Arabidopsis thaliana: one gene and its partners. The protein of the gene in region 3 interacts with the protein of the main gene of each other region in a pairwise test. Each region holds a gene or a part of one and is shown on either strand. Other genes may lie near its edges.

What was found.
Region 1: the proteins of AT3G54120 (region 3) and AT5G58750 interact in a two-hybrid assay, tested with the Arabidopsis thaliana proteins (one large-scale study listed by BioGRID).
Region 2: the proteins of AT3G54120 (region 3) and AT1G52220 interact in a two-hybrid assay, tested with the Arabidopsis thaliana proteins (one large-scale study listed by BioGRID).
Region 4: the proteins of AT3G54120 (region 3) and NodGS interact in a two-hybrid assay, tested with the Arabidopsis thaliana proteins (one large-scale study listed by BioGRID).

The regions. Positions count from the first base shown.
Region 1 is NC_003076.8:23,726,330-23,730,757, reverse strand, and holds AT5G58750 (NAD(P)-binding Rossmann-fold superfamily protein), read right to left. Parts: upstream 2,171-4,428; 5' UTR 1,873-2,170; coding exon 712-1,872; 3' UTR 616-711; downstream 1-615. Other genes in the region: DDB2 (damaged DNA binding 2), read left to right, coding at 1-17; AT5G58740 (HSP20-like chaperones superfamily protein), read left to right, coding at 3,230-3,278, 3,380-3,528, 3,643-3,691, 3,996-4,138.
Region 2 is NC_003070.9:19,452,696-19,456,660, reverse strand, and holds AT1G52220 (CURVATURE THYLAKOID protein), read left to right. Parts: upstream 1-1,895; 5' UTR 1,896-2,055; coding exon 2,056-2,283; intron 2,284-2,387; coding exon 2,388-2,474; intron 2,475-2,566; coding exon 2,567-2,629; coding exon of another isoform or gene 2,630-2,683; exon of another isoform or gene 2,684-2,716; coding exon 2,717-2,754; intron 2,755-2,836; coding exon 2,837-2,891; 3' UTR 2,892-3,181; downstream 3,182-3,965. Other genes in the region: ROPGEF11 (rop guanine nucleotide exchange factor-like protein), read left to right, coding at 1-5, 93-413, 506-895; PSAH2 (photosystem I subunit H2), read right to left, coding at 1,153-1,332, 1,409-1,535, 1,629-1,759. UniProt on the Arabidopsis thaliana protein: Determines thylakoid architecture by inducing membrane curvature.
Region 3 is NC_003074.8:20,040,436-20,044,642, forward strand, and holds AT3G54120 (Reticulon family protein), read right to left. Parts: upstream 1,906-4,207; 5' UTR 1,699-1,905; coding exon 1,629-1,698; intron 1,527-1,628; coding exon 1,346-1,526; intron 1,282-1,345; coding exon 1,070-1,281; intron 983-1,069; coding exon 834-982; 3' UTR 691-833; downstream 1-690. Other genes in the region: PUMP1 (plant uncoupling mitochondrial protein 1), read left to right, coding at 1-81, 165-242, 326-412, 517-561; AT3G54130 (Josephin family protein), read right to left, coding at 2,460-3,047, 3,740-3,994.
Region 4 is NC_003074.8:19,704,893-19,712,115, forward strand, and holds NodGS (nodulin/glutamine synthase-like protein), read left to right. Parts: upstream 1-1,927; 5' UTR 1,928-2,175; coding exon 2,176-2,337; intron 2,338-2,541; coding exon 2,542-2,891; intron 2,892-2,979; coding exon 2,980-3,095; intron 3,096-3,172; coding exon 3,173-3,278; intron 3,279-3,420; coding exon 3,421-3,577; intron 3,578-3,649; coding exon 3,650-3,745; intron 3,746-3,811; coding exon 3,812-3,860; intron 3,861-3,989; coding exon 3,990-4,261; intron 4,262-4,376; coding exon 4,377-4,549; intron 4,550-4,634; coding exon 4,635-4,755; intron 4,756-4,838; coding exon 4,839-4,891; intron 4,892-4,983; coding exon 4,984-5,113; intron 5,114-5,190; coding exon 5,191-5,336; intron 5,337-5,406; coding exon 5,407-5,595; intron 5,596-5,671; coding exon 5,672-5,904; intron 5,905-5,987; coding exon 5,988-6,130; intron 6,131-6,233; coding exon 6,234-6,296; 3' UTR 6,297-6,568; downstream 6,569-7,223. Other genes in the region: AT3G53170 (LOW protein: PPR containing protein), read right to left, coding at 1-943, 1,030-1,339, 1,449-1,525.

The DNA of each region.
Region 1 (4,428 bases), on a different chromosome or scaffold from region 3:
AGAAGACAAAAACTTAATATGAGTGAAGAAGGTCGTTATGTATAACTAACTTACTCTGTTTTTGTAGGTTTTCTTGTACAGAGTCTGTTTTAGTAGCATCCCCTGTTTTGCCTTTGGCGGCAATTTTGCTTCTTTTTTCTTTTGGGGGCGCATGATCGGCTTTTGTATGGCATTTTCTTGAAATCCTTTTTGGTGATTCTTAAGTATGAATTGTAGTAAGTATGTGGAATGGATCAATCTTGAATCTTCTCTTCAGTTTTTACTCTCCCCTGTTTTCTCTTACTTGTTGGAATGATTCTTGATCTCGCTGAGTGAAGAGTGGAGACATGGGATGAAATGTCTTTACTCTTACGTCATCTTGACAGCCAAAACTCATCTGTACTACGTATGCAATAACATCGATAAACAAACTGAGTCCAGCTAATCATCTTGTTGTTGTCTCAAGTATGGTCTGCCACTACTTCATCTTATTATATGTCACAATACATTCACATTTGTTCGGACGCGTTTACGAAACCTGACTGGAATTTTGGTTATCCACTGCTTGGAATCTAACTTAGCTATTGCATTTCACTGCAAAGGATTTATGTTTAATGATTTAGCTTAAAAGGATTTGTGGAAAGCTCATTATTCAAACAAACAAAACTTACATGAGGATTATTGATCAAGTACATATATACCGTGATCTACATTGCTAATGTACAACATGTGTTACAAAGGAATGAGTTTTTCATCTCTCATCACATCAATCCAATACAAAACCGAATCTAGGGTTCTATATTTCCTCTTAAACCCAAACCTATCTACTTTTTCTCTTTTCCCAAGAAGCTTAAACGGACATCTAAACAGAGCATCCAAGAAATACCAATTCGCCAAATCCTCAATCTCTGTCCTAACAAGCTTCTCCTTCACAACAATCTCATCCCACACATGTTTTCTCTCAACCATCTCTCTCCCAAACCAGAAACCTTCATCAAACATGGTTGTTTCGTTAACTTGTACACCAAGTTTCTTCCCTATTTCCGGCCAAATCTCCTTCCAAGTAAACCCTACTCCATTAATGGCGTTAAAAGCTTCCCCTTTCTCGCGTACTTTCCCACTTGTTGCAGCGAATATATGCTGCTCCGCGACTAAATTCGAATCAGAGCCATCTATGTAACTCTCTTCCCAACATTCTCTTGTTCCTCCAAACACAAAAGGAAGATTCAAATACTTACACATCGCTCCATAAACACAAAGACTTCCCATGAAGTTGTACAGAGTTCTTGAAGAGCTTCCCATTAGCAAACCAGGTCTTTGAACCGACCAAACAACGGAACTACGAGTGATCTTCTCCTTCAGCAAGTCCTCCAAAACATAGTAGAAATTCTTCCCAGAGCTCTTTCTTGGACACTCCTCGCTGTAATAATACAAACTCGAACCTTCTCCACGAGCCATTGTCTCTTCCACCAAAGACACATAATGCTTCATCCCCGTTTGAAGCGAGAAATGCTTTAACCTCTTAGCGTTTGGGAGAATCGCGTCCAAAGCGTTCATCAGCATCGTCTTGTTCTGTACGCAACATTCGTCGGTATCCAATGGAAACTCACCAGACCACGTGACCCAAAACACGTGACTCACGATGTCTTGTAATGGAGACAACCTCTGTTTAGTCTCAGATGCGTTAAGCAGATCGCAGGAGATGAAGTTGTACATCTTCGTCATGGAATTGATCTCCGGGTTACGCGCTACGCCGTAGATTCTCCATCCTGGTTTAGACATTAATAGCGTCTTAACAATCTCTCGACCCACAAGCCCGGTGACGCCAAAGATTAACGCTACATTCTCGTCTACTTCGTTTCTTCTCATCAAGCTGCCATTTTCAGACCCCATTGTGATTATTAGTGAGTTATGGACTTTGATCAAAGCTTCATATAAACGCTTAGAGTAAAGACAAAAAAAGTTTGTGGGACTGATTCAACGTGTTTTAGGATAGTTTCAAGACTCGATGCTTACCTGTTTTAAAGGCTATGATAAATTATCCAAAGCAAGTTGCTTTGAACACAGCTACGATGTAGCATAACGAAGCAACATTTGTTTAAGATAAAATAGACTAAAGTCAAACAGTGTTTTGGGTTTCATGTTAACGTGTTTATCAATTTAATTTGTGGTTCTGGAATGTGTTACGAAAGCAACAGTTGTTACAATAGTTTTTTAAGGAACCGTCGTGTACAGCATTTTGTCCGGTTCTCAATCGGACGGTCAAGATTTTGCGAGAGGCAGAGTCTGGCCCGTGGTTGCTGGCCGGCTTTTAAAATTATAGTACACTTCAAGTGGGTCTCTACTCTAATAGTATTCATTTTAGTTAACAGTCTCACCGGTCAAAACCGAATATTAGCCGACAACTTATTCAATGAACTAGTTATATATACACTCGTGAGTCGTGATGATTGTTTTTTCATAACTAGAACTCATGTACCCGAAACCAAACCGATTTGAGATCTAACTGTCGTTCGATTCATGCAGTGGCCAAACATGTATCATATCGAATTTCATCAAATGAAACAAGTTGACCAATGGAATTGAGAAAGTAAGTTTTTGGATTAGCGAAATGGAAGACCATAATTTACATTATCAAACAACTTTTTGATTGATCAAAATTATTCTTCTGTTATAAGTCAAAGTCTTTGATCACGTATAACGTTTTAATATGAGAAAATTGAATAACTACCCTGTCTACGTTGAAGAAACTGAAAGGGGGAAATGGGTACAGTGTATCTCTTGTCCCAAAGGACATTGAAAAGCTAAAAAACTAACACACTTGGCTACGTTTAAGGCTTTAAAATGGACCATGTTTTGTGGTAGACCTACACATTACTCTTCTTTCAATTTTGTTTTCCTCCGTATTCTATGCATTGAATAGACCCACTTCTCATCTTTAAATTTTCTGTGGAATTGTGAAAGAGTGTTCTACTTTGGCGACAACAAAAAAATGTTTCTTGGAACTTGGAAGAACTTCAATAAAACGGCATGGAGTTTTGACTTCCAAGTTAGAAACGGAGTGTACCTCAAGAAAAGGGATCTAAGCGTAAATAACTAAAACTAAGAACCCTAAAAGAAAATACATGATTATGAAAGGACTGAATCATAAATGCCTGTCCTCCAATGTTGAGACGAATTGAAAAGGAACCAGAACAACTACTATCAACGGTGATCGATTTCGCCGGGAACGGAGAAGAAAACCCTAGATATGGCGGAGAAGCTTGCGCCAGAGAAGAGACACGATTTCATTCACAATGGTTTCTCGCTTTCTCTATCCCCTCGCTCTATTTCTCTAATTTCAGCTGATTCCATTTCACGAGATTTGGTTTGAATGTTCTTCGATTTCCGATGGTTATAGGTCAAAAGGTATTTGAGTGGGATCAAACCCTGGAAGAAGTGAACATGTACATAACTTTGCCGCCAAATGTTCATCCAAAGTCATTCCACTGCAAAATCCAGTCGAAACATATCGAAGTTGGCATCAAAGGCAACCCTCCCTATCTCAATGTCAGTTTCTTTCGCTATCTTTCAATGTTTTTGATCCGTTTGTCTCATAAATCTGAGTTATTCGATGTGGTATATATAACTCGATTCAATTGTCTAAATTTTGTCAATTTTCAGCACGATCTTAGTGCTCCTGTGAAGACTGATTGCTCGTTCTGGACTCTAGGTACTCCATTTTTTGTTTTTGTGTCTGTATTGGGTGCTTGTTTTTGATGGTTAGGTTTCTGTTTTTAGACCCGTTCACTATTGCTAGAGAGGATAAACTGAACCTGGAAATGTGATCTGAGTTTGGTATAAATAGTGGGACATATAGTTTGGAATGTGGAAAATTTGAGACTAATGGAGGGATGATGGAATGTACAGTATATTTTGGGTTATATTATCAGCGTATGTAAGTTACTGGCATAGTTTTTTTAGGTTCATAGTCTGGCACTGATTGCTAATCTGGATTGTTATGTTTGATTTGGCAGAGGATGATATAATGCACATTACCCTGCAGAAGAGGGAGAAAGGGCAAACATGGGCATCACCGATTCTGGGACAGGGTCAGTTAGATCCTTACGCCACTGATCTTGAGCAGAAGCGGCTCATGCTCCAGAGGTTTCAAGAAGAGGTTAGCTACCTGTAAAAGTCCTCTTGGTTTCATATGGTTTCTGCTTTTGAAAAAATAAATGTTGTTTTCTAGGTCTTCTAATTGATCTCCAAAGCAAATCTTAGGCACCACTACTGAGTAGAATGAATCTATGTCAAAGTATGATTACTTTGCCATAAATGATCGTTTTGGATGAGTCATGTCCCATGATTGTTTTCTTTGTTCAAGCTCTCTTATTTTGTTTCTTATGTCTCTCTCAAGTAGTGAATCTTTTGTGTTCATGGATAAACAGTCTGCATAGAGCTGGTGAT
Region 2 (3,965 bases), on a different chromosome or scaffold from region 3:
CTAAGGTTATTTAATAAACACATAAAAACATTCATCAAGAATCTGTTATTGATCTAGTCCTTATCGATGTTTTCGTGTGTTGTTGAGAACAGAATGGGAGAGCTAGCTTGGGAGATGTGATATACAGAATGATAACAGTAGAGATGTTTGATGCAGATCAATTCCTAATTGAAATGGATTTATCATCTGAGCACAAGATTCTTGATCTAAAGAACAGAATCGAAGCATCGATTGTGATATGGAAGAGGAAAATGGTGCAGAAGGACACAAAGTCTCCTTGGGGATCAACAGTGAGTATTGAGAAAAGAGAACAGTTTGAAGAAAGAGCTGAAACCATCTTGCTACTATTAAAACAAGGGTTTCCCGGAATCTCACAGTCCTCGCTCGATATCAGCAAGATTCAATTCAACAGAGTAATTTAAAACTCTTAACTTCCAAATACATTTTGATTGTGTTTTCTCTATGGTCATGAGAAAATCTCATTATTGGATAATTGTTGTTGCAGGATGTAGGACTTGCGATATTGGAGAGTTATTCAAGAGTGCTTGAGAGTTTAGCTCACACCGTGATGTCGAGAATAGAAGACGTGCTTTACGCTGATCAGCTTACTCAAGAACCTACAAATAATGCACCTTCTAAGAACAGATATAGCTTGAAGGAGAATGAGAAACTAAGAGAGGAAAGACTAAGTTTCACAGAGGATATGGCTTCAGGAACACTTTCTGATGTTATGCAATGGGGTAACAAAAACAATGAAATGAAGAAAGAAAGCTTTTTCGGAGATAGAGAGAAACCGTTGTTGTCGAAAGTCACAGGTATAATGACTAACAACAAGAAGAGTTCTTATCTTGATAATCTTGGAGCTATGAGGAGTCCAACCGCAAGATACTCCTGAGAGAAACCGGTTTCTTTTTTCCGTTCTTGTTAAATTAGGGCTTCTTACTGCATTTTCAATCTGCTTAAAGATTCCACAAAATGCACCATTGTGTGTTGTAGCAGACTTGAAATGCAATTTCATTGATTCATCATAACTGATTTTCAGAATCACTAGCTTACAAAGCAATTAACACAACACAGTACAATATACATAAATAGGGTTCATAGAATTGGGGAGAAAGTTTCTGACTTTTTGAAAGATTTTAGAAAGCTAATTTAAAGCTTGCCGCGAGGACCGAGCTTAGGTGGCTCTTGAGGACCTCTCTTAATCGGAAGAACATCGCCGGTAGAGTTCGCACTAACATATGTAAGCAAAGAGCCTCCTCCAAGAATCAAAAATTTGAGAAGCAAACCTCTCTTTGTGAAAGGAGCAGCAAATGTCTCAAAGAACTTGCTCTGCAAGCAACATAATCACAAAGTCTTAGAATTTGAAGAAGCATATAGATCTAAAGATTTAAGAGTGTACAAAAACCTGAAGTGGGTTATAAGGAGAAGGAGCATCAGATCCATACACATCCCATTGTCCTGTTGTGTTACCCAAATCTTCTAAATCAAAGTATACACTTTTGTCTCCATACTTAGCCACCACAGCACCAGCTCTACACAAACAATCAAAAGTAACATCCTTTCTTTAATACCAATCCTCATCAATGTCAATCCAAGATTCCAAATTTCAAAGCTTTAAACTTTACCTGGTGGATTTGGTTTTGAAGCTTTGGCGAGAAGGTTTGATGAAGAGCTTAGCTCCGGCAAGAGAGCTACCTCCAAGTCCTTTCACGGCGGCAGAAGGTTGTACGGCGGCGATGGTTGCAAAAGACGCCATGTTAATTTCTCTCTTTGTTGTTGTTTGTTTGTTGCCAAAGTAAGTGAGTGGATTGATGTAATTTGTATAGTGGAGAATCTTCTTCACTCATTTGATAGATCTTGTTCTGCCACGTGGCGAATTGGGTTGTCATCTTTGAGATTTGATATGCCACTTAGGAAATGCCACGTGGATTATAAAAAGATAAGGCTATCTCTAATCCATAACCAAAAATTTCTTCGTCTCTGTCTCCAAAATCGAATCAAAATCTCTAAAGTTTCAATTTTTTTGTTCTGTTCTTTTTATTTTTTTAAAGAATGGCTTCAATTTCTGCAACTTTGCCTTCGCCATTGTTACTCACACAGAGAAAATCCAATCTCACATCGATTCAAAAACTCCCATTTTCTCTAACTCGAGGTACGAATGATCTTTCTCCATTATCTCTTACTCGAAACCCTAGCAGCATCAGTCTGATGGTGAAAGCTAGTGGAGAAAGCTCAGATTCATCGACTGATCTCGACGTTGTTAGTACGATTCAGAATGTTGTGAGTCCCTAAATCTCTATAAACCCTACATTAGACTCTGTTCTCAGTTACATATATGCCTTAGTTTTGATTTGGACATTTTTTAAATTTGTAAATTATTGCAGTGGGATAAGTCTGAAGATAGGTTAGGTCTTATTGGTTTGGGTTTTGCTGGTATTGTAGCTCTTTGGGCATCATTGAATCTCATCACGGTATAGTAATGAAAAGACTCAAAACTTTTATCTTTTGTTGTGCTTAATTTTGTGAGACTTGATGACAAAGACTTGTTCTTTTTCTTCGTTAGGCAATCGACAAATTGCCCGTTATCTCGAGCGGATTCGAACTAGTTGGTATCTTGTTCTCCACGGTAAGTAATAAGGCTTGGTATCATCTCAATAAGTATAAATGTTATGATCCTTGATTCTTCTAGCATTTGATATCTCCATTTCTGCAGTGGTTCACATATCGATATCTCTTGTTCAAACCGGACAGGTAATTTTTTTTTCTTTAAATGCGGTTATGAAATCGAATGCTGGTGTTTTTGTTTAACCTAAGTCTTTGTTTATTTTTTCAGACAGGAGCTTTCGAAAATTGTCAAGAAATCAGTAGCGGATATACTTGGCCAGTGAACCTTGTGTGTGTGATAATACTTCATCTTTGGAAGATGATTTGTTTGCAAGTTTGTAAAATTACATGACAGGGTGGTTGTTGTTTCTAGTCCAATAATGTCATGCATTTGAAACCTGTAAATACTTTATTGTTGGTTTTTGGTTGTGAGCAAAATCAATCTTTTCTAATTTCAAAGATTCTCTTTTATGATTATACGTTTTAAATCAGGGTTTCAATTTTATTGTTTCCGCATATCAAAAGCCATAATTTTTCAAGTTCAGAGCTTCAACAAATTTGTTATTTCTCAAATCCAAAAGCCCTTTTTCTATTTCACGATTCTGGCTTTTGTTTTGTTTTCAGTTTTCTGGTACATAAACCCTAAAATCAATGATTAAGGTTCTTTTATAAATCTTGTTTGCATAAACTATGGTTCTTGCTGGACTGGAACGTAACAGCTTGATAAAACTATTCAATCTTCTGCATGATGATGGGAATAATTAGAGCACCAACCAAAAGAAATAACTAGGTGTCACCTTAGCAGAACCAAACAAGCTCTCCCTCCATAAATTAGTATTTGCGGCAACCATAATTAGGTCCCTGGTACTCTCAAGCTGCGAAGAATTTTCCTTCAGACTTGGAGAAGCCACATCTCCTGTGTGCATGTCTTTCTTCTCACTAATAGGTTCAATATTCTTTTCCATCACCTACAATTTAAGAAGGCCACATTTAAAACAGACATGGAGGATAGGGAAAACAGTTGAAACCAATAAGTATCATATGCACTCTGAATTCGAGACATTAGGTGAGGTTTCAGAACTAAACATTTGGATTCACAAATCACAATTAGTCCTTGGCTTTAAATAATAACCCTAAAAAGAGAGGAATCATTCATCAAGAAGAAGAAGAAGAAGAAGAAGAAGAAGAAGAAGAAGAAGAAGTAATGTTTTTAAGATGATCTATAGATATATGCTATAGGGCTGTTGTATTTGTCTTCAGGCGGAATGTGCTTAACATGCATTCACAGGTTCAAGGGTCTTCATCATCATTTTTAGTTTAAGGCTCTCTTGAAAGTTTGTAGTCTTTAAAGTTTAAAC
Region 3 (4,207 bases):
ACTGACAACGTTGTCACACATATTCTATCTGGACTGGGAGCAGGATTCTTTGCTGTCTGCATCGGCTCTCCTGTCGACGTGGTAAAGTATTTACTCATGACATTGAACCTTGAGTTTATTCACCACGTTTCCTGATTGTCTACTTAAATCTTGTTGTGTGGCAGGTTAAGTCAAGAATGATGGGAGATTCTGGTGCTTACAAGGGCACCATTGACTGCTTCGTCAAAACTCTGAAGAGCGACGTAAGCAACTCTGCTTCTGATACCTCCATTGTTCTAGATATAACCCAGAAAATGTTACAAACTCTTTACGGTTTCCTCTACAGGGTCCTATGGCATTTTACAAGGGTTTCATCCCCAACTTTGGACGCCTTGGCTCATGGAACGTAATCATGTTTTTGACCCTCGAACAGGTAACAACTGATAGAATTTTTATTTTATCGCAATCGCATTCGAATCGGTCACGCAAAGTCTTCTTTCTCATTTTCTAATCCGGGTTCTTAATACTCTAATCCAGGCAAAGAAGTATGTCCGGGAACTCGATGCGTCCAAAAGAAACTGAGACACATAGTTTTAAGCAGAGGGAATAAGAGCAACATTGTTTTCTTCTTCATTTTCGGTGATTGAGAGAGGCCAGAACTTGGTCGAATATTGTTTTCGGAATAGAGATTCAGTTTTCGAGTAAAACTGTGAAATAAAATTTCTGTGGATTGCTCATATATTGGCTGTACCATCCAACATTTATCAAAAATCATACATTTTTCTCCTTTCTTTCCACAAAACCGAGAAAAATCAGAAAAAGAAACTCCTGAAGAAGAAAGAGGTGACAGCATCTCAGCTCAGTTTCTTATTTTCCGGATTAGCCCATATCTCGAGTCTAAGGTAAAGCTCTCTAGTTTTGTTGCAGATAAACTCAATAGAGCCAACAATGTAATCCTCATATCTCTCATAGAAAGCTGGAACCGTCATAACCACCAAAACGCCTGCCAAATTAACCAAGAACAACCACAAAATGAATATCCAGCTCAAAAGCATTCCAAGTCTATAGGAGTTTTAGAATATCTACTTACTGGTGTGGCAAAGTGTCTGAAAATCCATGAGACTTCCGATCAATGAGAGAAGAAACAGTGACACTGCTACTTTGGTATACAACTCTGAGTCTCTTGCCATTGCAATGTCATGCGAAACTTGGAGTAGCTTGTTCACATGAATACGTAACCATATCGAAGCTTCTTCCGCCATCGCTTCACTTATTTGAAACTCCGGTAACGGCGGTGATGGCCTGAAGAGCCAAGAAATTGAATCAGAAATGAAGTAATATTAGTTACAAGTGAATATTAATATACCTGTTGAGAATGGAAGCAGATTTGGACCAGAGGAAGAGAATAGAGAGCAAGAGAAGAAGAACACTTGAAATAAGAGTAAAGATAGTGTAAGCAAATGCCTCAAACACCATCCATGAAGCTATTGTCACTGTAACTATACCAACACTCACATTCTTCTTCCTCCACAGCATCACATCTGCAACTGCAGATTCATTTCATAACAAGAAAAAAAAAAGGCTATAGAGGTGAGAGATCACCTAGCTTTTATAAGTTTTGGATTTGGTAAAGAAATGTATTCACTAACCAATGCCTCCTCCCAGAATCTCATGTATTGTCCTGTCTCTGTTGAACAACTTGTCCGAAGAAGAACTCATTTGAGAAGAAAGATCAGAGCAAACTTGGATTCAGATTTCCTCAGATGATCAGATCCCAAAAGTAACCCAGATATGTATATCTTTCTCTGAATGTCAGAAACAGATCATTATGTGAAAGGAAATCCTAAAGGCTCGAATCGAAGGAACCTGATGTATCACAAAGAAAGTAAAAATAAAAAGTGAAGAAGAGACTAAAGTTGGGTCATCACCATCATCATCAAAGCCATCAACTTTGAATATACAAATAATTAATTAATAATTCAAAGGCTATGCTCTGTTTAGGGAAAAAGAAGGTGTTTGTTGTCCTCTCGATGTTTTTATTTCCAGCCTAAAAGTGTTATCCTTCTTGTTTTTTTCAAACTGTAAAAGTTCGCCAGATTGTACTTAGAGATGAATCAAATTTTACACCATCCTTTTATATTTTCCATAGAACACATTTAAATTGGTCATTCATCTACTTTTAGTCAACTGAAGTAATTTATGTACCCTTTTCAGATGTAGTTTCCTATGAATTCGAAAAGGTCGAATCTTTATCCTCAATTTAAGATTGTCAGAAGAATTTAATATGGTAAAAAAATCAAACAAAAACAATTCCACAAACCATTTATTATCCTCTGTTTTCTATCTTTCGATGTAAGCTTTTTTCTTTCTCTGTTCTGTATGTAAAATTGTTGATAACTCTTGATAACAAACCAAAACAAAGAAACAAAAGTGAATATCCCACCACCTCCATCAATAACACTTGTTCTCTATTTTCTCTGCTACTTTTGTTTCTCAGTTTCCTTTTCAGAAGTGCCCACAGCTCCGAGATTGGCCTCAGCAGCAGAAGCATCAAGCAAACTTGCTGCAATTGCTGCCTTCAAGTCATCATCTTCCATCTCTGAAAAAGCCTGCACTTCCTCACGTGACAATGCCTGATTCCGTCTTTGTTGATTAACATTGTCATTACTTCTCTTGTTTCTGGCAGAAGAACCTGAGCTCGTGTTCTTTCTTATTCTCTCTGCGTCTTCAGGAGAAAGCCACTGCCCGAAACTATTGGAAGCTTCAGAAGAAGACGACATGGGACATTCCTGAGGGAAGTTTCCTTTCACTATGAAGATACTCCATCCTGCGCCTTTGAGAGAGTCTAAGAACGCAGAAAGGTAGAACTTCGATAAATGTTGCGGGGCAGCAAGGAGACTATCAAAGTTATACCATTCGCCATTCACTTTCCTTATACAAAACCAATGGTCATGCAAGTGGCAGATAAAGGCGCTTTCAAGCTCAGGGTCTATCTGCGCAGGCTCTGCATCTGGACAATTGAGTGGAATTACTTGTAGATCCCACACTTCCAAAGCTTTTTGCAAGACCTGTCAATCAAACAGAAGCATTCTCAGTTAAACGAATAAGCAAAGACTAGATCAACTTTGCAAGATTAAAATGCTACACCAATCGCATAAACCCTCTGTTTGCAGTGTTTTATCCGCATCCAACTTCAACGTAATCCGTTAAAATAGCTTTAATTTTAGATATCTAAAAATGTGATGTAAAACACCATACTATACCCTTGAATCTCAATACATAAATCTTGCAATCAAACCTGACTTTTGTAGCAACCTAATCAAATATCAAGTTATCAACCAACTCGGTTTAAAGCTATCCAAGAAACAAAAGATGATAATTGAATATACAGAACCTCACTAATAACTAACATATCCAAAACAATTGAGTCCCAAGATAAAAAAAATCATCTCAAGTTCCTCCATTTATCAGCATAGCAATGTTCGCACAATGAAACTAGCCTTCAACAAATGAGTTTTAACCCAAAGTAAAGATCGCAAATTCACACCATTACTGATCTCAATTCTTCTTGAATCTATCTAAAAACGAATCCAACCATTCAAAAGTTTATCACTTCAGCATAAACACAGCAATCAAAAGCACCATAAAATCGAAACCCTAATTTTGCCTAAACTTCCAACAACACAATAACAAAAAGGCTTTACAATATATAAATGTTGAATGCAACTCAAGATTTATCAATTTCATCGCGAATTCGTACCTGGATACTAAAATCGCCGCCGAGGGAAACATTGTGCGACTCTTCAGCTAAGAAATCGCCGGGAGCAAAACCTCCAACGGCAGCACCTTCAAGCATAACCTGACGCTCCTTCCCGTCTAGATCGGCGGCGACGGCAGCCAAATCGAATTCAGAGAAGAAAGGCCCTTGCAACACCGTGTTGACGCAGTGTACGGCGCACAGATTTGACTCTTGAACCTCGTGATACAACATTCCTCCGTTGCTTGTTCGTTCCATCGCCGATTAAGATTTGAATATCAAAATTCACTGATTTTGCGATGAATATATTATTATTGCTCCGATGCAAAAGTCTCAAAGAGATTGTGAAGCGAAGATGAAGATGAAGATGAAGAAAGAAGAAGAAGAAGCAAGTTAACAGATTATTTAAATAAGAAAATGTAAGGGACGGAAAAGTAAATATACAATAAAAGGATGCCACGTGTAATAACC
Region 4 (7,223 bases), 340 kb from region 3:
TAGCCAAATCACCAGCCTGACCATATGCATTGATTATGCAATTGAAGAACGGTGTATCCAGTACCACATCTGAATTCACAATTTGCCTCAAAACCGAATCTATCTTAACGACAAGACCTGCTTTGCTATACGCGTTAACAAGCGAACAATAAGTGATTGAGTTTGGTTTCACTCCTTGATACTTCATTTTCCTGAATACATCATCCATTTTCTCAATTCTTCCAGCTTTTCCAAACGTCTCAATCACTATATTGTAAGTGACAGTCGTCAGGGAGAAGAACCTTTTCTCCATAAAATCCATAACAGAGCACATCTTCTTATACATACCAGCTTTTCCAAATGACAGGATCAGTATGTTAAATGTAGTGATATCCGGTTGCACCCCCATCAGCTGGAACCGACTATACCAGCTCTCCATCTTCCTCATGTTGCGACCATTTCCATATGACCCAATGATCGAGTTAAGCGTACAAACATCCGGAAGAGAATCTCCGTCCTCGATCATATCAGCCAGAACACTTTCCATTTCCTCAAACATTCCAGCCTTTCCATACCCATCAATAATAGTATTGTAAGTAACCGTGCTGCATCCAACTCCAAGATACGACATCTCAAGAACGATACTTTTAACCAGATCAAACCGACCCAGTTTGCAGCAACAACTGATGAGAACAGTAAAGGTGAACACATCTGGCTTGCAGTCACTAACAGATTTCATATACTCAAGTGTAGAAAACGCCTTGTCTAGAAGCTCGCTTTTGCCATAAACAGAGATAAGAGAGGTATACACATCAATGGTTGGTTTCAATCCTTCAGATAACATAACTTCGAAAAGCAAGCTGGCTTGATCAGGCTGTTTACAATTCCCAAGCACTTTAAACAGCTTTGTATAAGTTTTGCATCTTGGTTCATACCAATGCTGCTTCCTAAGAAGATTGAAAATCTATAAAGTAGAGAAACAGGAAAGTGAATTCTATCGAATCTATGTCCAAGTATCTGTAAGAATGAAGAAGGATTAAAGAGCTGTACCTTGAGAGCAGACTGCCATCGATTCTCTTTGATAGCTTCGTCAAGAGCTTCTAGAACAGCTTTTGGCCATAAAGTTAAGTACTTTTCGGAATTGGCTTTCCTCTCAATGCCCTTCACAGCAGCATCTGTTCTCAGAATCCGAGACAATTCTTTCTTAGGATCTACTTGGTGTCTTGTTGAGATCAAACCAGAATTCATTTTCTCTGTACGTTCGTTGGGGACCTTTGTCGAACACATTGTGGGCGTTATTGAAATAGTTGGTATACACCGAAAATAAACAGGGGAAGATATATGTTGCTGAACCACGCTTCTGCAAGAATGAGAAACAGAGAAAGATAGATTTAATATAAACACAACTGAAGAATTAAAGAAACGTAAAATTCAAAACAGTATGATTGTATGAAATATGAGAATGTTACCGAGAAAAACCAAGTTGTGCGATCTCATTGGCGTACGCGGAAGTAGTTCCTTGAACAGGATTTTGTATCAATGCCATCGAAGAAAAATGGTAGAAAGATAAGGTGGAGAAAAAGAAACTGCAAATTTTCTGGGTAGAAAGCAGAGCTAGAAGACGACGACGATACCGTTGTTTTTCCTTCGTTTTTTTCTTCTTCTCCGGTTTGGTGTAGCTTCTCTTCGGTTTGTAAAATATAATGAAATGGTTTTAGTTTTGATTTGGATGCCGGTTTAATTTGGATTTACAAAATTAAAAATTTAGCATTAATCAGTTTTTTCTTGTCCGGTTTAAAGGATTGGATTGATGAAGGAAGAACCAAATGGAGCTTTTTCCAATTTAATTTTGAATTCGAATTTGTTAAAACGAGATTGTCCTTGGCAAGGAACCGGAATTTGGAAAATGAAAAACCAAGAACACAGTTGAAAGTTATCCACACTAGTTAGGACACGTGGAGGCTAATGTATTTCACGTGGACACGTGCTCATCACTCTCCTCTAAACGCCGTCGTGAAGTTTAAAGGTCAGAGACATCGGCCACCGACCAAATCAGACAAGGAAAAGTCAACGATTTGATTGGATCTTCTTCACTTATGCTTTAAAACCGTTCCTGTAATAAACTGTGAAGATTGTAAGAAGATTAACACGAATCAAGAACATCGAACTGTTGACTTTAGACAGAGAGAGACGGAGATGGAGTTTAGTGAGTTAAAGGAAGCAATAGAGAAGATAGAGCTCGTTGATGCTCACGCACACAACATTGTCTCTCTTGACTCATCTTTTCCGTTCATCGGAACTTTCTCCGAGGCTGCCGGCGACGCTTTAACCTTCGCTCCTCATTCTCTCTCCTTCAAGGTACACGACGATACCAAGTGTTTTTGCTCTAGTTAGTTTTCGTTTGAATCAGATTCTAATTAATGAAAACGTTAGCTTAAAGTTTCCTAATTAGTCTCAAAAGTATTAGTTAACTAAAGTTTCGAGTGTTACTCAAAAGATGTTGACTTGTTTAGGAATCTCGTGAAGTTGGTATGAATGTTTTTGGTTGTATGAATGAAACAGAGGAACTTGAGGGAGATTGCTCAACTTTATGGCACTGAAGTATCTTTAGAAGCGGTTGAGGAACATCGTAAAACCTCGGGTTTGGATTCTTTTACTTCCAAGTGTTTTAAAGAAGCTCGAATCTCTGCTCTCCTCATTGATGATGGATTAAAGCTAGACAAGAAACATGATATTGAATGGCATAGAAACTTTGTTCCATTCGTTGGTAGAGTGTTGCGTATCGAAACTCTTGCCGAGCAAATCCTCGAAGAGGAGTGTCCTGGTGGTTATTTCTATGGTTCTGAGAGTACTGAACCGCCTGTTTGGGATTTAGATTCTTTCACCAAAACCTTTGTTGAAAGATTAAATTCATATCCTTTTATCTTTGCTTTTTTAATACACGCTTAATGATTGTGACTATACTCACTAGTATTGGTTAACCTTGACTACTTCGGTCACGCTTGTTCCAGAGATTGTTGCTTTGAAAACTATTGCTGCATATCGTAGCGGTTTGGATATTGATACTTATGTGAGTAAAGAAGTTGCTGAGAATGGCCTTGTTGAAGTCTTGCGAGGTAAGATGGTTGTGCTTGGTCTATCAAGAAGTAACATAGTTGTTGTCTGATCACCTTAAAATCTAATATTGCTGCAGCTGGAAAGCCTGTCCGCATAGGAAACAAGGGCTTGATTGACTACATCCTTACCATTAGTTTGGAGGTCGCTGTGCGTCGCGACTTGCCCTTGCAGATTCACACCGGGTATGCAAGATTTGATCAACTATATGATTGATGTTAGTAAAGTCTGATCTTTTTATCAAACAAACCTTACACAGAAACAGAAACTCATGCTCAGAGGTTTGTAGTAATGAAAATTCTCCTTTTCTTTTGTTGTTTGAGCCAGTTTTGGTGACAAGGATTTGGATTTGAGGTTGTCGAATCCTCTTCACCTTAGAACCCTTCTTGAAGACAAAAGATTTGGAAAGTGTCGTATAGTTCTTCTTCATGCAGCTTATCCATTCTCAAAGGAAGCATCCTTTCTGTCTTCAGTTTATCCTCAGGTTTTTCGTCATCCCATTTCAATTATCTGTAAAATCATGCCTAGTCATTAACTTATTTTCTTGTTCCTTAAGGTTTACCTTGATTTCGGCTTGGCGGTTCCAAAGCTTAGTGTCCATGGTATGGTTTCTTCAGTTAAAGAGCTCCTTGACTTAGCATCAATAAAGAAGGTAAAATTTATTTTACTTGCATTATCTTTGTTATTGTTCATGAGTAACCATAAGATATTATTGCAGGTTATGTTCAGCACTGATGGGTATGCATCTCCTGAGACCTACTATTTAGGTTAGCTCAAGTTTCTACCTCTTTTCTATAGTTTGTAACATACTTATATATGTTCCAATCCTGTTTCTAAGCTTTGGCACTTGAAATCGTCTTGCTTCAGTCTTGAACATAGCTCGCTGTTTTTTGCAGGTGCAAAGAAAGCACGTGAGGTTATCTTCTTAGTTCTGAGTGATGCTTGTGCCAGTGGTGATCTCTCACTCATGGAAGCTATTGATGCAGCTAAAGACATATTCTCACGAAATTCTATTGGATTTTATAAGCTTAATATAGACACAGATTCTTCTAGTCCACAAAATATAATATCTCCCAAATTGAAGATAAAGGAGCCTGATGTTCAAGAAGATAGTAGTTCTTTTGTACGCATTATTTGGGTTGATACATCTGGACAACAAAGATGCCGTGTGAGTTTTTTTTTTTTGGTTTCTTCTAAAGAAAAAACCTCTGTTTCCCACCTCAACGATTTTTCCTTAGAAGCACAAAAACTTAACTAGAATTCTGTTTATTGTATTGTTTCAGGCTGTTCAAGCGCAGCGTTTTAACAGAAGTGTGAAGAAGAACGGCGTTGGTCTGACCTTTGCATCAATGGGGATGACTTCATTTACTGATGGACCAGCAGAAGAGTCTAAATTGACAGGTGTGGGTGAGATTAGACTTGTTCCAGATCTATCAACCAAGCAGACAATACCTTGGTACTTTACTCGTGTTCATTCTCTTTGGAGTTAATTTTACAGATGTTTCTTTCTTAATTGTTTCCGTATCATATTTTATCATTAGGACGAAGCAAGAGAGCATGGTTTTAGCTGATATGCAATTGAAGCCTGGTGAAGCATGGGGGTACTGTCCACGAGAGACCTTAAGAAGGGTCGCAAAAGTTCTCAAAGATGAATTTGACTTGGTAAGAAATCTCCATATAGCCATTCTACGAAAACTTTTATTTGCTTTTTGGTTGCTTAAGCTCAAATCTTCCTTGGCTTTTAGGTAATGAACGCTGGTTTTGAGAATGAGTTTTATCTCCTCAAGAACGTTGTGCGGTATGCGACTATATATTTCTTGAATACCGGTTTCTTTGTTCAATCCAATCATTTTCACAATCTTAACACTTGTTCTGTCCATTTTTTAAAAGGGAAGGGAAAGAAGAGTATATGCCTTTTGACTTTGGTCCTTACTGTGCCACATCCTCATTCGATGCTGCATCTCCGATCTTCCATGATATTGTACCCGCACTCGAGTCCTTGAACATCGAAGTTGAACAGGTTACAAATAATTCAAAAATCCCTCATAATGATCAGTCTGCAACATGCTTCTTGACATGTATGAAATTTTTTCATAGTTTCATGCTGAATCCGGGAAAGGTCAGTTTGAAGTATCTCTCGGTCACACCATTGCATCCCATGCTGCCGACAACTTGGTCTACACACGTGAAGTTATAAGATCGGTTGCAAGGAAACAGGGATTGCTCGCAACCTTTGTTCCAAAGTATGTCAGTCTCTCCCACCAAATTATTCGTTGTAACTGCAAATTTTTAACATATGTGTTTTTTCTTCAGGTATGATTATTGTGACATTGGTTCTGGATCACATGTGCATCTAAGTCTTTGGAAAAACGGCGAAAATGTCTTCCCGGCATCTAATAACTCATCTTCTCATGGAATCTCTTCCGTTGGAGAAGAGTTCATGGCCGGAGTTCTATTTCATCTTCCATCAATCTTAGCTATTATAGCTCCACTCCCAAACAGGTAACTCGAAAACCGTACTTTTCGAGTAATTTCCTCAATTGTTATTAAAAGTTGTGTGTGTCACTTAAATTTCCAGCTACGACCGAATCCAACCTAATACATGGAGTGGAGCATTCCAATGTTGGGGCAAAGAAAACCGCGAAGCAGCGTTAAGAGCAGCTTCTCCACCAGGAACTCCTGATGGTTTAGTTACTAACTTTGAGATAAAGTCTTTTGATGGCTCTGCAAATCCTCACCTTGGTTTGGCTGTTATAATGGCTGCTGGTATTGATGGTCTCCGGCGACATCTTCAACTTCCTACTCCAATAGGTAACTAAAAACTTATGTTATTCATTCTCATGTATATGTAGTGTTAATATGAAGCTTGATCTTGAGTTGTTCGGATGGAACAGATATAAATCCGGCGGATGTGGCTGCTACATTGAACAGACTTCCGGAAACGCTCTCAGAAGCTGTTGAAGCTCTGGACAAAGACAAAGTTCTCCACGATTTGCTCGGACAAAAGCTTTTAGTTGCCATAAAAGGAGTCCGTAAGGTAACACTATAGTCTTTTAGTTTCCCATTAGATTCTCAGTGGTAACAAAGTACATTAGCACTAATCTATTGTTTTTGTCTTTTTAAATTTTTTTGTGTAACAGGCTGAGGTCGAGTATTATTCGAAGAATCCGGATGCATATAAGCAACTCATTCACCGATACTAATCCTTTGAGCATCTCTATGATGATTGTTGGATCATTTGGTTTTATTGTGGACTTTGTGTCACATGAAGGGTCGTATTTGCAAAATACTTGACATAAAGATGTGGTTCAGAAAATTAATAAACTAAATTTCATATTTCGAGACGCATGCTCATGCTGGAGTACTATTTGTATTTCTTACTTTTTCGTCCCATGCTTTCAAAAGCCTCAAGAATATACAGAGTATTTTCAATAATACGGAGTAGTTCTTAATCATTTACATTTGTCTATGAATTGAATTTGACTACTAATACTCGGAAACAAAAAAATGATTGTAGTATTAGGAGCGCAAATACCCTTTAACCATTGTTCTTTCCATGTTCTTAGTCCGGCTATTGTTATCTAGGTAGGTGCCTGATCCCTTTTTTTCAAATCTTTCTTATTCATTACTTTGACTAATTAACCTATTTAATCATATTTAATCTCCCTTTAATCTGCAAACTAAAGCACATGTTTTTTTTTATGAAAGAAAAGGTTAGTATGACATTCTTTTGGTAAATCTCATCATATTATTTATTTAATTTTAAGAAATTGGAGTTTAAAGTGTAATTAAGTTATGCTACCTAGCTAATTTCCTTAAAATATGAACGATAAGTATAGAAATTAAAGTAAAGATTAGGTTTATACGGTACGCTTATTATGCTCAAACAAGTGGACGAACAAAATCCATCTCCATGTGACTATGGAAGAGAACTTATTAATAAGTCCAAATTTTTTTCTTGCAAACTTTATGATTTCATTCACACTAGACAAATTAATTGTTCGTAAGAAGGTATACGTACAACATAATGAGCTTTTACTGCTTCCCTTTGCAAACGAATCAGCTAAAACTTTACAGATTTATATGTTCAAGGGAAACTATAACTAAGATTTGAAGGAAAAATCTAACCT